Zea mays: one gene and its partners. The protein of the gene in region 1 binds, or shares a complex with, the protein of each later gene. Links are inferred from orthologs where the notes say so. Each region holds a gene or a part of one and is shown on either strand. Other genes may lie near its edges. The genes, in order: 50S ribosomal protein L4-like; 50S ribosomal protein L24, chloroplastic-like; 50S ribosomal protein L31-like; 50S ribosomal protein L34-like.

Region 1 (4,256 bases):
CTTTGCATGGCCTTTGGGCGCACGGGTCAACAGGTCCATTGGAAGGGTGTCGGCTCTCAATGTTGTGCAACGACGTCGATAGCCCTCCACACTATTCTGCCTGAGCCGCGACCACTCCTTGACGATCTTCTCGCCAACATCGATGTCTTCGCCATGCCTTCTGGATTGCCACCAACTCGTGCATGTGACCATTGCATTCACTTGCAGCCAGACACGACAACAGTCGCTGTCCGACCCTACCGCTACTCGTAGGTCCATAAGGACGAATTGGAGTGCAAAGTCGTCGACATGCTGGTCTAGGGCGTTATTTAGCCTAGCACGTCGACCTTCTCCACATCGATGCTCCTCGTCAAGAAGCATGACTCCTTGCTCTTCTACATCGACTCCTTGCGCTTCCTCAACGACTACACGGTGAAGGACAAGTTCCCAATCCTCGTCGTCCCCGTCGTTGATGAGCTCCTTGACGAGCTCCATGGCGCCCATTTCTTCATAAAACTGGACCTACGCTCCGGGTACCACCAGATCCGCATGCACACAGGCGACATCGAGAAGACCGTGTTTCACACCCACCATGGCCACTTTGAGTTTCTGTTGGTGCCAGTTGGGTTGGCAAACACGCAGGCAACATTCTAGAGCCTCATGAATGAAGTCACGCAGCCCTTACTCCGTTGGTTTGTCCTTGTTTTCTTTGATGTATTCTCATCTACAACGACTCGTGGTCAACTCATCTGCAACACGCCTTTTTCGACGCCTCCATGCACACTCCCTCTTTGGCAAGCTCTCCTTTGGCATGACGTCCGTCGCATACCTAGGGCACGTCATCTCCGTAGATGGCGTAGCCATGGATGGAGACAAGGTGGAGGCCGTCACGTCTTGGCTGCACCTTCCTGGGCCTTATGGGGTACTACAGGAAGTTCATATAGGAATTCGACCTCATCGTGGCGCCACTCACCAGCTTGCTAGGGAAGGACACCTTCCACTTGTCACCGAAGGCTGAGACGACCTTCACCGCACTCAAGCGCGCACACTCCACTGTGTCGGTCCTCCATCTGCCAGTCTTCGATACCTTGTTCGTCGTGGAGTGTGACGCGACGAGCATAGGGTTCGGCGCTATCCTTCAGTAGGGCGCAGGACCACTGGCCTACTTCAGCTGACCATTCGTGCCATGACACCAGAAGATCGCCGCCTACGAACGAGAGCTCATCGACTTGGTGCAAGTCGTGCGTCATTGGCGCCCATATCTCTGGGGGCGCCGGTTACTCATCTGCACCAACCACTTTAGCGTGAAGTTCCTGCCTGATCAACGCCTCTCAACGATCCTGCGGCACCAGTGGGTGAGCAAGTTGTTCGGCTTCAACTTCACGGTGTAATACTGCCCCAGTTGTCTCCATACGGTCGACCACGCCCTCTCCCGCCGTGACACCGACATCATTGGCCGCCACAACAATTGTGTCTTGTTTTTGTTTCTTTGCAGGTTGGCTCTCTCATGAAATTTGTGGTTGTCCTATTTTATGTTGAGGCGTGTCTGCCATTCAGACAAAACCATCTTATTTCCCTTCAATGCAAGGCAGAGCTCCTGCCACTCTCTTTTAGAAAAATGAGAAATATGGTAAGAGGTGCATTTTTATTCAGCAAAACATAGTCCTGTACAAAACCGATATTCAAACCCCATGTCTTGGTCCTTGAGTAGTGTGGTTTTATGCCATTCAAATTTACATTGTAGATAAAATGTTCCCCAAAATAATGGTGATGCAATTCAATCCAATCGGCATTACTGCTTCGTAGCACTACCATTTGCTATTCTCCTTCAACCTGTTGAGACATGTACTAACTGAAGGATAGCAGTTACTAGCAGAGAGCCCATATATGGCCAGTACAGGAATAATCAAGCAGCGCACTGCAACCAGCAAAGCATACTCTGTAGCTATGTACCTGGAGCAGCATCTGCTGTGGTGCCTTCTTCTGCTTCTTGCTCGACCAGTTCCTCCTCGCCATCATCCTCGTCATCAGTATAGTAGTCATCGGAAACACTGGCTCCGTACCTGGAGTTGAGGTAGTCTACAGCAGCAGGAGTAAAGAAGAGCTTGCGTGCGTCGAGTATGTCGTACAGGTTCAGCGTCCTGGGTGTGAGCATTTTGAGGGAACCAATGTTCCTGCCGCTGAGCCGCACATTGTCGTCGAAGTCCGTGGCAAAGAACATGGCTTTCTGCTTCGGGTCAAGCCCCCACCGCTGCAAAGCGGCCACGAAATCCCTGGTCTTGGGCCCCGACGCGAAGGCCTCCTCGAACTCCTCGACAACGAAGGCGTCCTTGGCGGCGCTCACGATGGCAGTGGAGATGGCAAGGCGCTTCTCCTTGCGGTTGATCTTGATGGACCAGTCGCGGGGCTTGGGGCCGAACACGACGCCACCGCCGGGACGAAGCGGGGTACGCTGCGACCCCCGCCGCGCCTTCCCCGTCTTCTTCTGCTGATAGGGCTTCCTCCCTCCGCCTCTGACCTCGCCGCGGGTGAGCGTGGAGGCCGTGCCTCGGCGCGCGTTCTGGCGGTCGGTGATGATAGCGCGGTGCACGACAGCGCGCGCGGTGGAGGGTGGCGCGGATTTGAGGTCGAGGGTTACCTCCCCGACCTTCTCTCCGGTGAATGAGAGCACGGGGAGGGTGGCCGCCTCGGCGCGCAGCGCGCGGAGGACGGAGACAGCCGCCCTCGTCCTGACGGCGGCGTGTGGAGTGACGGCAGCGGAGGAGGGTGGGAAAAAGGAGGTGGATGAGGAAGAGAGGAAGGGGGAGGAGGACGAGGAGAGCGAGAGGAGGAGAGGGGAGACTACGGCGGCGGCTGGCATTGTGCCGGCTTCGCTGCGCTAGGTACGGGACTACGGGGTGAGGCGAGGACGATGGCTCTGACGCTCTGCCTCTGCAGCTGCCGCTTCTCTATCCCTTTGTTATCCACCCGTTCGGTTCGGCCACTCCTCCCCAGACAGACTCGTAGTCCCTACTTGCCAACGCCACAAGAAGGCACACTGTCAACTGTCTCAGGAGTCACCGAGTCAGGTCTCATGCCGAGTCGGCTAGTCGCAGTCGCACTTCACAAGTTTGAGTAATTTTTCCTTAAAAATCCATTAATATTACAAGTAATGAAAGGGCATTTGCCGTGTTAAGTGAATTTATTTGCTTGCAGTTTGCTAAAACTGGTTGACACGGGACGGGAGGAGACGAAACCGTGCCTGTGCACTTAAGTCAGCTGCACCTGCAGACTCAACTGCAAGTGCCCAATGCTTTCAGCACAGCTGGGATAGATAAAGGGTGAAAACGAATCTTCAGAAATTCTAGGTAAAAAGGATTAGGCTATCCGCAACCGTTACCCCTAAATTTTTCCCCCTATATCACTTTTCCCCCCTATTTTTCTCCCTATTTTTTCATCTCCCGCAGCGGTTCCCCCTAAATACTCCCCTATACCCCACTACAACTATAAAATATCATTTTCTATATCAACTATTAATTTTTTATCTACTAACAATTACTCGTGGACCCACAGCACAGTGTTTAGGGTGATGAACAGTGACACGCTAGATCTGGGGGGAGATAGAAGGGTGCCGACGCGTAGGGGGCGCTGTAGGGGGCACCGCTGCGGCCGTAGGGTGCCCCCTACAGACGGCATGCAAGGGGAGGGGGAGTGCTAGCGGTGACCGCTGCGCACAGCCTTAATCAGAAGTTCTACGTTCCCTTGGCTTCCTGATGATAACCAACTTGCACGCGTCTCCTTACCGACAAGGTAACAAGCAAAGTCATGCAGGTCAAGAAACCTGAATAGATGACTGCGGATTGCATTCTCATGATAGTTTTTTTTTCCAGATATTCTGCCACCCTTGCACAAACCATAAGGTAAAAGCAAGTCAGGAAATCAGAAGTTTAGAGCAGATGGCCGAAGTTCAAATTATCATACTTATTTATTTTCTTCTGTTTCGATCTTCCACGATACATTCTACATGAATGATACAAATATCTATCCAACATAGTCTTTGGTCCCTACGTGAATCATACTGGCTATTGTGTAACCTACAGTTGACATATCCAAAGCAGAGGCGAGCTCTATAGCTTGTCGACCTTGTTTACGGTTTATGCGGATAATAAATGGCTTTTTAGGATGATATACTAACGCTTGCGATGCCCGTAGTTCATCTTGATGACTTTGATGGTAGTTTCTTAACCAGACTAGTGTTACCAGTTACCAATAGTCGAGCACCCTTCACCAGCTCCTCC
Region 2 (4,366 bases), on another chromosome or scaffold:
TGCGTCTCTACTAAGTAACTCTTGTGGAGGCCACAAGGTGCAAAATCTCTATCACAGTGGGCAAATTAATCAACAACCGAAGGAAACTACTTGACATGTCTAGCTCCGAAACCTGTGAAAAAAAATGGTCCACATCTGGAGTGTCGCAAGCAAGTAGAGCTTTGCCCAGACAGATTGAGTTTTGCCCAGCACTCCAGCATCCATGCCTTAAAAGGTTATAGTTAGAAAGGGGGAGGATTGCTAAGCCCTTGCCAGTTAGCCACATAGAGAGAAGGCCTTATTATTAGATCATGCCATTTCTTTTCTTACAAAATTAACAAAGTGCAAAGCATTACTATGGCCACGAGGAACAGATAGCTACGAAATGAAACTGTCGCAATTATCATGGAAAAAAGCCACACATTTCCTTATCCATTTTGTTTGGTAGCGCCACATAGAAACAAAACTTCATGTCACGATTTGCATAGTTATCTCAACACATGTGGCGAATAGAAAAGGAGAAAGAGAAAAATAAACACAAGATTCTTAACCATAATAAGATATAATTTGTGTCGGGCATTTGCATAGTCACATGCTTATCCCATGGGGAACGTTAAAGGTTTGCTTGCACGGCAGGACCATTCCTGATTCCCTAGATGGTAGTTAGATGACGGCGATAGGAGCCGAGGCCCAACTGCCCAGTGATGTATTGGCCGTGTTGTTTATGTGATCTGTCATGGATGTCCTACTATGATTCAAGGATTTAGGACATGCGCAGAACTGCCAGCAATGAAAAGTCGAAGAAAGAGATATTGACTTCGAGGGGGAGAAATGTAGTCCACTATGAGAAAAGAGATACCCAATGTCTCTGGAGAAAAAGATCTGAGGTAAACACGTCTAACTTGCAACCATGATTTGCAATAGAGAAATCCGATTGACATCCCACCCTTTCTCGGTGCAGGATGGGACCTGCAGCAGCAAAAGCGCAAAGCTTCGATGTCACCGCCATCCACCTACCCTCCATCGCCCAAACTGTCTCTGTCTCTGTAACGCGAATTTTATTTTACACAACAGCAAAGTGAAAAACTGGAGTAGGGGGTTCGCTTGCCTCAGCAACCGTCGCGTAGCTTGCGCGCCTCGGCGCTGGAACGGGGAATCTGGAGGCGGGCACGCATCTCCCAAGCAATCTCGCGTGGCCTCGCGTAGCGTGCGAGGAGACACGCAGAGAGGGAGGGAGAGAGAAAGAGAGCCTTGACCCCGCCGTCCTCGTCCTGTCGTCCTGATAGCTGATGCAGTGATGCTGATCAGCTGATGCGTGCGGAGCTCGCTCGTGGAGCCGAGGCCCTAGCCTGTAGCCTCTCACGGCGGTAGAACGAGCACCCATGGGCCTCACTGGATCACCTAAGCGTCTTCCAGGCCCATCTGTGCCTCACCTGAGGCCTGTCTCATTTAGTGACGAGGCCCAACCCACCAGCGTCAGAATACAAGAGCGCGTTATCCTCTCTCTTCCGGTTCCGGGCAACTCGAAGAAGCCGCGTGCGTTATCCTTTGAGCAGTTTGGGCGCTGAGCAAGTCCAGTGAGAGAGGGAGAGCGGCGAGAGGATGGCTGGGATGGCATCGCTGCAGGGCGCCATGGCGTCGCTCTCCATCTCCGCGCTAGGCGCGGCGACGGCGAGCAGCAGCAGCTTCTGGGGCAACCGGCTCGCCACCTACTCCGCGCCGCAGCCTGGGGTCTGTTCCTGCTTCCCAATTCCGTTCCGTTCTGCTGATGGTTTGGTAGATAATAAGTAGCTGTTCTGGTGAAAGATTTTACTCTGGAGTTTCTGGATAGCGTTGCAAAGCGCGGTCGGATGGAATTGTTCTAGGGACATTCGAGCTTGCATTACGGTTTTGGAGCTAGTCTGTATGGATTGGATGCAATGAAATGGAAAATTACCTTTGCATTGTTATTAATTGTGCATTTTCAAGGATGACAAACCAGGCTTCTAATATGACTATGTTTAGGGGTGTTTGACATCACTCTAGAGCAAAACTTTAAGGAAGACCTGGACAAAGTCAACTAAACACCCTAATTCTAGAGTTGCAAACTCTATAGAGTTTTGAGAGTTGTAGTATAATTTTTTGGAGTACATTTTTTGCTACTTTGAAAAATCCTTCAAAAACAATCAAGACACATCCAATGCACTGGTTATGAGAAAGCAATCTACACTTCGGAGCAGATATACTTCACCCAAAGTTTTGGAGTAGAACTATGCCAAACTCGCCCTTATTAGATTTCATATTACATTAAGTTTCTATTTGCTCCACGACACACACTAAATTTAGACCGTGTCCATATTGAATTTCGTCTACCTTCTTTTTTTATTTTTATCTTGCATGGAAGCTTAAATGGTAAGATTTGAGTGCGCCAAATAGATTAACTGATTGGGATTAATTTAAGTAAGAGAATTTCCTTTGTCATTGGTAATCCGGTATTGTCCTTTTTGCATATACAACTATGCACATGTTTGCCTTTTAGTGCTAATAGAGAGTATGCTGTGTTTCATGTGGTAAAATTTGTTCGAGTACTCTTTATTTAGTTTGTTAACTGAGGAAATTATGTTGCTTTTGAAGCGGTCAAAATGTCAACTGAAGAAATTATGTTGCCCTCAATGTGCCACTGATTTTGTTTATATATATTTATGCCTGAATTACCCCACATCACACAATACATATGACTAACTGGAAACAAAATTTGGCGCCAAATAGTGTATTATGAGCATAATGATGTTTGTATTTGAACCCTGCTTTCTTTTCTGTGTCATCTTTATTATGCCTTACCTGTATGTACTTGTGCCTGGAAAATTCCCAACTGATAAGAATCGGATGAGGATAAACCTTTCTGTTAAGAAGCAAAAGCAAGTAAAGAATAGATAGTGAGGTCAAGTAATCACTGTTGAAGGAAGTGATAGAACCACTGTATTTTAAGGGATATCGTATTACTCAAACATAAAGAGGAGCCCTGGATCCTGTAGTGTCTTGATCAGATCAACATGAATCGTAACCACTGTGTTTGAGTCATGCCATATCTCAGAAGCATCTGATTAGTGTCTCTTTGATTTGAAATGGAATCTTATGTCTTTAGGATGTGAAGTTCTGACAAGCTGTTTAATATGTTCAATATGCAGGTAAGGTTTATGGTCAAGATATGCCCAATTGAAATGAGAGTGAGTAAAAAAAATCTTTAGTCCAAATATTTGATACCTTTTTTATCCAATAATGTGAAATGTCCTAAAACTTCACTTTCCACTGCAGCTTAAGAGATGGGAGCGAAAGAAGTGTAAACCAAACAGTCTTCCTGTGCTGCACAAGATGCATGTTAGGATCGGGGACACGGTACAGGTTATTGCAGGCCGTGAGAAAGGAAAGGTTGGAGAAGTCACACGCCTTTTCAAGCACAACAGCACGGTGATCGTGAAGGACCTGAACTTGAAGTCGAAGCACAAGAAAGGCACAGACGATGAACCCGGTGAAATCGTCATGGTCAGCAAAATTTCTATTGAACTTGTTTTTTGGGCCTCTCATGATGCTTTGCACATATTGGTTTCAAGAGCATATCTGTAGTTTTAGTAGGTGCCTAATCGTTCTCTTGATCAGACTTAAATTTTCTTTGATCAGATTGAAGGCCCCATTCATAGCTCAAATGTGATGCTCTACTCTAAGGAGAAGAGTGTGGTAAGCAGGGTTGGCCACAAATTCCTGGAGGACGGGACCAAGGTCCGATACCTGGTCAAGACCGGTGAAGTAATCGACAGTGTTGAGAAGTGGGTAAAGGTTTTTAAGGAAGGAAATTCGGAGTAACAGTTTTAGCATGAAAACCTGCAAAATGCTCTGAACGCTGACTGCGTCTTGCATGTTGAATTGAGCCTGTTTATCCCTCTATGTTGTTATTTACGCCAGTTTTTCCCCCTGTAAATTATACAGTTGTCACCAAATCTTGCAACGCAAGTCAATGCGCATCAGCATATGCTGATCTTGTTCCGCTTCACCAGTCAGAGTTTTGGATGAAAAACTATGAGGGCATGTTCGGTTACAGTAATCCAGAGGGGGATTGGAGGGGATTAAATCCCCTCCTAGTCATTTTTGACTAGGAGAGGATTTAATCCCCTCCAATCCCCCTCTGGATTGGTGTAACCGAACAAGCCCTGAACGGGCTTGTATGTGCGGGCAGCCCGTGTTCGTTTGCAGCTCTGGACCCACTACTCTCGGTCTCGTCCTCACTTCCTCAGAAATATCCACATATATCATTTCCTATATTACAAAGGCATATTACAAAGGCGAAGTAACCTGTGCACATGAAGCAATAGTGCACATATAACATCTCAGTCTCTAATCTTCGATCAAACGG
Region 3 (2,864 bases), on another chromosome or scaffold:
CAAAATTTTATAAGTTTGACTCGAACATTATCCAAAACGACAAATAATATAACACCGGAGGGAGTATCTATTTGCTTGTCGCTATCTATTCTTATTTCCGCCACATTTTCTATCAACGTAGGAAATAGAGTGAATCAGAGCTAGTGTATGATATTATCTTCAACGGTTTATTAATAACAAAATAAAATTACTTACTTTTCTTTTGTCTAGATTAAGCCAATAATATTATAGTCATTTTGTTTTATTTTATAGAAATTAGCTTGAATTATATGTTGGTGCTAATTGTTTGTAATGGCATGAGATTTTACAAATATTCTATTCCACCCATATGGCCGTATGTCACGACATGTTTTATATATCATGCAACACATGGACACTCAATTAGTTCAGTCGCATGGAAAAATTGGTTGTATAAAACTATGACTCGGAAATTGGATCACCTAGCAACAGGAGGCTAGTTTGATCAAACAGTATGCGGTATCAGGTTATCAGCAGACGACTCAAGCTGTAGTCAAGCATCAGCGTATACTCCTAGTGAGAAATATCCATTTCCTCGAACCAGGATCATTTGCTTGTTTGATCAATACCATCCTACCCTAGAGTGCATTGCAGAAAGCACATTGTATTTGGGGGCCCATGATCAACAAGACCCTATCTCGTGAAGTAGTAGTAATTGTACATTTTCCATTCCGAACATTAACCGAACACCTGGAGAGCAATGCGAACAGACAGAGTCTCGATTCCATTCAAGAGGGCAAATGTAAACTGGACCGGTGACCACGCACCGGGTGAGGAAGACGGGGAGCCATCAATCAGTTGTCCCCCTCGGGCTCGAACTCCGGGTCGCCGTCTGGGTGCATCTCCCTCCACTGGTCCTCGGGCCAGTACTCCTTGATGTGGCCCCACTTCTTGCGGAACTTCTCGATCTGGCTGTCCATGACCACGAGCGCCGAGGTGTCGCCGACATAGTAGGGGTGGTTTCCGGACCACACGTCCACCGTGTACTCCGGCTTGGTGCCCCCCGTCACCAGCACCAGCTCGCCGTTGCAGTACACCTTCGCGTCCTCGTAGATCTCCGGGTGCAACCCCTTCTTGCGCATCGAGCAGCGCATCCCCTGCACCGCGCCGTCCAGGTTCCGGACTCAGGAATTAGCGGCGGCGACGACGAAGATCCGTGCAGGAATGGCGAGAGGGAGGGCCGGTGTGTACGAACGTGCGTACCTGGGAGGGGACGACGGAGCGTAGGGTGCGGGCGGTGGTCCTCGCGGCGGCGGGGATGGGGAGGAAAGAGGTGGAGAGGGAGAGCGTCATGGCGGACGATGGCCTTGCCTCGCGACAGTCGCTTCGGCTGCCTATGTTCTTTCCTTCCTCTTATCTATCGCCTTGCTAATGTTATCCTCTGGCGCTCGTCGATTCTCTCTTTAGGTAGCGTTGTCTAGGCTTGTTTGGGCTCTATATGTTCATTAAAGTCTGTCTGTGGTTTGTTTTGGGCTACGTGGAAATGCGACGGCCCACGAAAAATCCAGTGCCCAATTTCTCCTTCAGTTATTTCCAGTTGGCGGCCAGCTATACTAAAGAGGTATAGCTATGCGGTTTTTTATTTATCGAAACATTTCGGATCAAAATTCTCTTTCATAGATGTAACGTCGAAGAAAGTACACCACCAGAAATGAAAGTGTTGGTAGATGGTTGGTTGAATTAGTGGGCCAAAAGAAGAGAAAGTTGCATGCCGTGTAGAGTCTGACTTAAATATAATTAAGGAATGATATGCAAACTACAATTACAGTTGTTACGGTTTTCTTAAGAGTATAAAATTAAATAATTTAGAGCAACTCTATTAGAGCAACTCTAGTAGTTCTCCAAAAGATTCCTTAAATCAATAAATAATTTAGGTAGCTAAACTAAAAACTCATCTCCAACAACTCTCTTAAATGAATTTTCTAAATTTAGCTACTTCTCATCTAATCTCAATTTCTCCCTACATTTAGCAACCATTTATCAACTTCCTAAACAAAAAACTGACGATAACTTTTGTATTTTGGTGTTTTTTCACTTTGTAGTAGAGATATATTAACAGAGCACATTCGTCGGACGCCGACGATGTAAAATTGTGGCAGGTAGTCAACTAGAGATTAACCAATTGCCAATGCAATAGCCGCACGTGCACATGTTAGAAATAAACGAATAAACAATTGTGATAGTAAATAAAAAAGCCAACATAACTCACCAATTAAATGTGTCATCACTAATGGTCCTACTCAAACTAGCGTCATGTTAATTAAAATTTAACATATTTAGAAAGTAATAGATAGAGAAATGTTGGATGAGATGATTTTTTCCCCTATATTATATGAGAACTTGCTATATCTAGGATTTAGGTATTATTATTATACATAACTATTGTAGTTGCTCTTACTAAATACTATACTCTTCTATCACCTTTTGGTATATCATTATTCGTACGTCATGCTGCCCTAAGTATTCATATATTTTAACTTTGGTTTGTTTGGCTATCTCTATTCATTATGCCTTGTTGATAATAGATCTAGCTAAGTATTCATATATTTTAACTTTGATAGGTGCAATTTTATATTTGTTATTTATCGATTAACTACATCTACAAAGATTTATTCCATGTTGTATGAGTATAACAATGTTTGTCGATCATAATTACGATGTTCTGCTGCAATTCATACTAAACTATGATTGTTTGCTTTATTATAGCTCATACATCGTATATTATCATGTCCAATAGAAAAAAGTATGTTCTGATCGATTTCACCGGTAGAAGTTTGCTTAACATTTGTAAGATTTGGACTAATGGAGAGAACAAGTAGATGATCTGGTGCTATAACTAGCTCTTT
Region 4 (3,682 bases), on another chromosome or scaffold:
AAAAGAGAATTTAAGTAGCGCAAGGATCAAACGGCCGCACGGGTAAGTAGTTTCATCATCAGCTAATGAAGGTAAATCCGGTTTGTCTTATTCAATTTTTTTTTTGAAAAAATAAAAAAATCCAAAGCCATACTTAAAGTATATTGTATGCTAATCAAAACCACAGTAAACTTTAACAATAATTATGATTTTTTAAATAAAACGAGATGGTCAAACTTAGTGTAAAAAAGTCAAATGAATTATAAATTGGAACCGGAGTATATAATAGTTTAACTGATTATCCCTGCAACGCAAAAGGAGATCCTAGTTCAGTATAGCGAACGATGCTACTGCACACAATTTCAGACCCAACAGGGAAGATTCAGTATTCATAACGGAATATGGGCAGGGTAAAAGGAGATCCTACTTCATAACAGCGACGGTATCTACTCTCAAGTGTTCCTTCATACTGCACGCAGGTTCAGGCCCACTAGGGAAGAGTAAATATTCATAAGAAAATATCATTCATACACCAAATAAAACCTTGGAAGCAGAAGGTGATCCAGATATTTTTAACCAATTAAACAGGAATAGGATGCTACATGATTGTTACACATAGATGGCGGCTTAGAAGATTGCAAGTAGACATTACACTTACAGTTGCGAGCACATCAAATTGCAGTGTAATTAGAACATTCTTTTCTTCCCACTGTTTGAGTTTGTCCTTGTGCAAAGAACCTTCCTGCCTTTGGCGCGCCTGCGCTTCAGTACCTTCCTTCCAGAAGTAGTCCGCATCCGCCTGCGGAAACCATGTGTACGGGCAAGTGACTTCCTAGACCTTGACCTCTTGGTCATGCAGAGGGCAGCCTTTCCAGCCCTAATCTGCATACCACGGGATCTCCGTGTTGTCATTATACTGTAGCTGAACTCGATTCCCAAAGATGAACCTGGCATAGAACATGCTATAAGTATAAGAACAACGAAGGCACACATGCACTCACAATCATTGATTTGTGAATACCTATCTGGTTGTGTTTGGATTGTTATACAATGCTTAAATGGTTTGTTGGATTCAACTTTGTCGTGCTTCTTTTAGGAGCTTTGGGATTTGCTTTAGGTAATGGAAAAGTCGAGTGTGATTAAAGTGTTGTCGTAGTATCAGACTATCAGTCCTGAGATCAAGTTTCTTGGAAGCGTTTATGCTTCAACTGTGTTATATAATCTTCACTATATTGGTTAATAGTCCTGTCATATGCAGCCCTTCTTAAATCTTGATTTCTTGTCAAGCAAAAGAAAATGCTATTGCAATGACTTTATCTTGAGACTTGGTGGATGACAACATGCAGTGCCGTTGGTGGGCTCCTTGCCATTGCAGGAACAAGGTGTGGGTTTTGGGGTAGCAGATTTTCGACAAAAGCTACGCTCGGCTTTCTGTTGATGCCAGCAATGGTGACGCACTCCTCCTTGTAGGCATTGTCAAGAGGTCTCTAGACCCTAAGGGGATTTTGGTTCAAAAGCATAGGTTCTATAATCGATGGCGGCACCTGCAGATGTTGTTTACCTCCTTGGAGGCATCATATGAACCCCACCCCATATCTTGTTTGGCTATCAGGGCGTGTTCTGATTGCCAATGCTCTGATGGTTTTATTGGCGATGTACTATTATTTTGGTGATTGTCTTGCCATCGCTTCGTTTCGTGAGCATTTTTCTTTTGTTTTCAACGATGTTGGTGTATCTAGTCCTTCTCTATTAATATGCCCGACTAACTGAATTTTTGGTTTTTTTATAATACCAACCACACAAGCTTCAATGTTTTCAAAGAATTAGTTAGGACACCCTTATTTCTGTTTGTATAGATGAAGTGAGTGTAATTAATTCCGGTTCAAACGTTAAAACAACATAAATCCCCAGTTACTGTTCTTCACCCTACTAGAGTAATGAACAACAAAGAACAAACTATTCCAAAACTCCACCCTCTTGATACCAGCTTACTGTATTATTAGTGAATTATTAGCAAGTCAAACATCCTATTCTGCAAATCTATCGTCAACACACGGTCATGAAGTCATAATTTCAAATTTTTAATGTCATTTCCCCGTACGAGCTTACTAGTAAGCAAACTACCCACAAAATTTCCCCAAATAAAGACCAAAACAAATGGCCGCCCAAACGCTAGCACACGAATACAGGAAGAAAAGGATTACAGGATACATTCTCACCCGCAAACGCGGAGGAGGACGTAAATGCCAGAGACGCCGAGACAGCCGCCGCGAGCGAAGCGGGGGAGGCGGAGGCGGAGGCGGACGACGTGGAGGAGGACGAGACGAAGGAGCTCCGGAGGAACGGCGAGGCGGATACGCCCACCGGGGCCGCCCTGCGAGTGCGGCCGACGCCTCCGATAGACGCCGCCGAGATCCTCCCGGAGTGGAAGGAGAGAGACGCCATTGGAGAGGCCAGGGCGAGCGCCATGGTTTGGAGGACTCGCAATCGCAATTGCTGCGGTCTAGCCACTCCCTGTCCCTGGTGCTTGTTTTATTTTATCTTATCCACGCTTGATGAGACAGGCCTTATGGGCCTCCTATGGGCTAGTGCACATTTGACCCACACATCCCCTCCTCCGCCCTGGAGAATCCCGGTTCCTCACGGAGAAATTTAGGATTGCGCCATTATCAAAAGTGAGTTTCGCTATTTTACCATTAATTAGAGGGCTTCATTCCATTATAAAACTTACAATGATACTAGTTGTATGCCCGTGCATTGCTACGGAGTAAAATATGTTAAGATAAGATACGTTGAAATGCAGAAGCATTAATTGTTGTCCTATACTCTTGTTAGCATCTTTTAAAGATTAAGAATGTTTACAAAACTGTATCATGGTAAAGCTTGAAGAATTGCTTCCTCATTTCTGGATCTTTAGCTCTAAGTCCGAGCATATACAGTTGTTGAAAGCCAAAAGGGGCCGCGCGGACGGTCCACGGTCCGGACTGTCTTCGGTGGTGGCGCGGACGGTCCGCACGTGCGCAGAGTCAGTTAGGGTTCCTAGTTTCTCATGGGATTTGTTATCTAAAACCGTGGGATTGACTCGGAAATCAGTTCGAAGCGGATCCAGACCTCCCCCTTTATATAGATGAAGGGCTACGGCCGATTGAACTCCCCAACAATCGATCAAATCAAGTCTATTACTCGTTTTTACCTTATGCATTAGGAGTAGTTCTAGTCTAGTTCTAGTTTAGCCCTAGTTTAGTATTCTAATCCCCAAATTCTCCGCTTCTCTTCGACTCTATGTCGATTAGAGGATCTAGGTCGGCCTGTCGAGCCTAGACAACCCCTAGAATCTCTCCTCCCCGACGGGGTCCCTCCCGGGAGCGAGATCCAGGCGCCGCCGGCGACCTTTCGCCGCCCCTGCGCACACGCGGACCGTCCGGCCCCTAGGGCGCATACCGTCCGGCCGTCAGGCAGGGAACCCTAGCCCTGCGTCAGGTCGCGGACCGTCCGGCCCCTGGGCGCGAACCGTTTGCGCCTGTGTAGAGAGCACCGTCGCCGGTTCTTGTTGAGTGTTTGGCGCCCGAAAAAGGTGTCAACATACTTTTGGCGACTCTGCTGGGGACTAGGTGTCTAGACCTGCTAAAAATCGGCCCATAGATGGTCGGTTCTAAGGATCACACCAAGATCTCCACCACCAACATCATCAAGCCGGCCATGG

The links.
Region 2: 50S ribosomal protein L4-like (region 1) and 50S ribosomal protein L24, chloroplastic-like share a complex: the UniProt entries of both Arabidopsis thaliana proteins name them as parts of the 50S ribosomal subunit. The link is inferred for Zea mays from reciprocal best matches to the Arabidopsis thaliana genes RPL4 and RPL24.
Region 3: 50S ribosomal protein L4-like (region 1) and 50S ribosomal protein L31-like share a complex: the UniProt entries of both Arabidopsis thaliana proteins name them as parts of the 50S ribosomal subunit. The link is inferred for Zea mays from reciprocal best matches to the Arabidopsis thaliana genes RPL4 and emb2184.
Region 4: 50S ribosomal protein L4-like (region 1) and 50S ribosomal protein L34-like share a complex: the UniProt entries of both Arabidopsis thaliana proteins name them as parts of the 50S ribosomal subunit. The link is inferred for Zea mays from reciprocal best matches to the Arabidopsis thaliana genes RPL4 and AT1G29070.

Annotation. Positions count from the first base shown.
Region 1 is NC_050096.1:38,266,286-38,270,541, reverse strand, and holds the start of 50S ribosomal protein L4-like, read right to left. Parts: upstream 2,866-4,256; 5' UTR 2,840-2,865; coding exon 1,933-2,839; intron 1-1,932. Other genes in the region: Peroxisomal nicotinamide adenine dinucleotide carrier, read right to left, coding at 4,172-4,256. UniProt on the Arabidopsis thaliana protein: This protein binds directly and specifically to 23S rRNA. May play a role in plastid transcriptional regulation.
Region 2 is NC_050100.1:50,135,607-50,139,972, reverse strand, and holds 50S ribosomal protein L24, chloroplastic-like, read left to right. Parts: upstream 1-1,524; 5' UTR 1,525-1,581; coding exon 1,582-1,710; intron 1,711-3,146; coding exon 3,147-3,185; intron 3,186-3,273; coding exon 3,274-3,501; intron 3,502-3,636; coding exon 3,637-3,819; 3' UTR 3,820-4,005; downstream 4,006-4,366. UniProt on the Arabidopsis thaliana protein: One of two assembly initiator proteins, it binds directly to the 5'-end of the 23S rRNA, where it nucleates assembly of the 50S subunit. Required for optimal plastid performance in terms of photosynthesis and growth.
Region 3 is NC_050098.1:221,939,938-221,942,801, reverse strand, and holds 50S ribosomal protein L31-like, read right to left. Parts: upstream 1,370-2,864; 5' UTR 1,312-1,369; coding exon 1,222-1,311; intron 1,116-1,221; coding exon 813-1,115; 3' UTR 520-812; downstream 1-519. UniProt on the Arabidopsis thaliana protein: Binds the 23S rRNA.
Region 4 is NC_050098.1:192,686,037-192,689,718, reverse strand, and holds 50S ribosomal protein L34-like, read right to left. Parts: upstream 2,475-3,682; 5' UTR 2,449-2,474; coding exon 2,199-2,448; intron 927-2,198; coding exon 667-926; 3' UTR 523-666; downstream 1-522. UniProt on the Arabidopsis thaliana protein: This protein binds directly to 23S ribosomal RNA.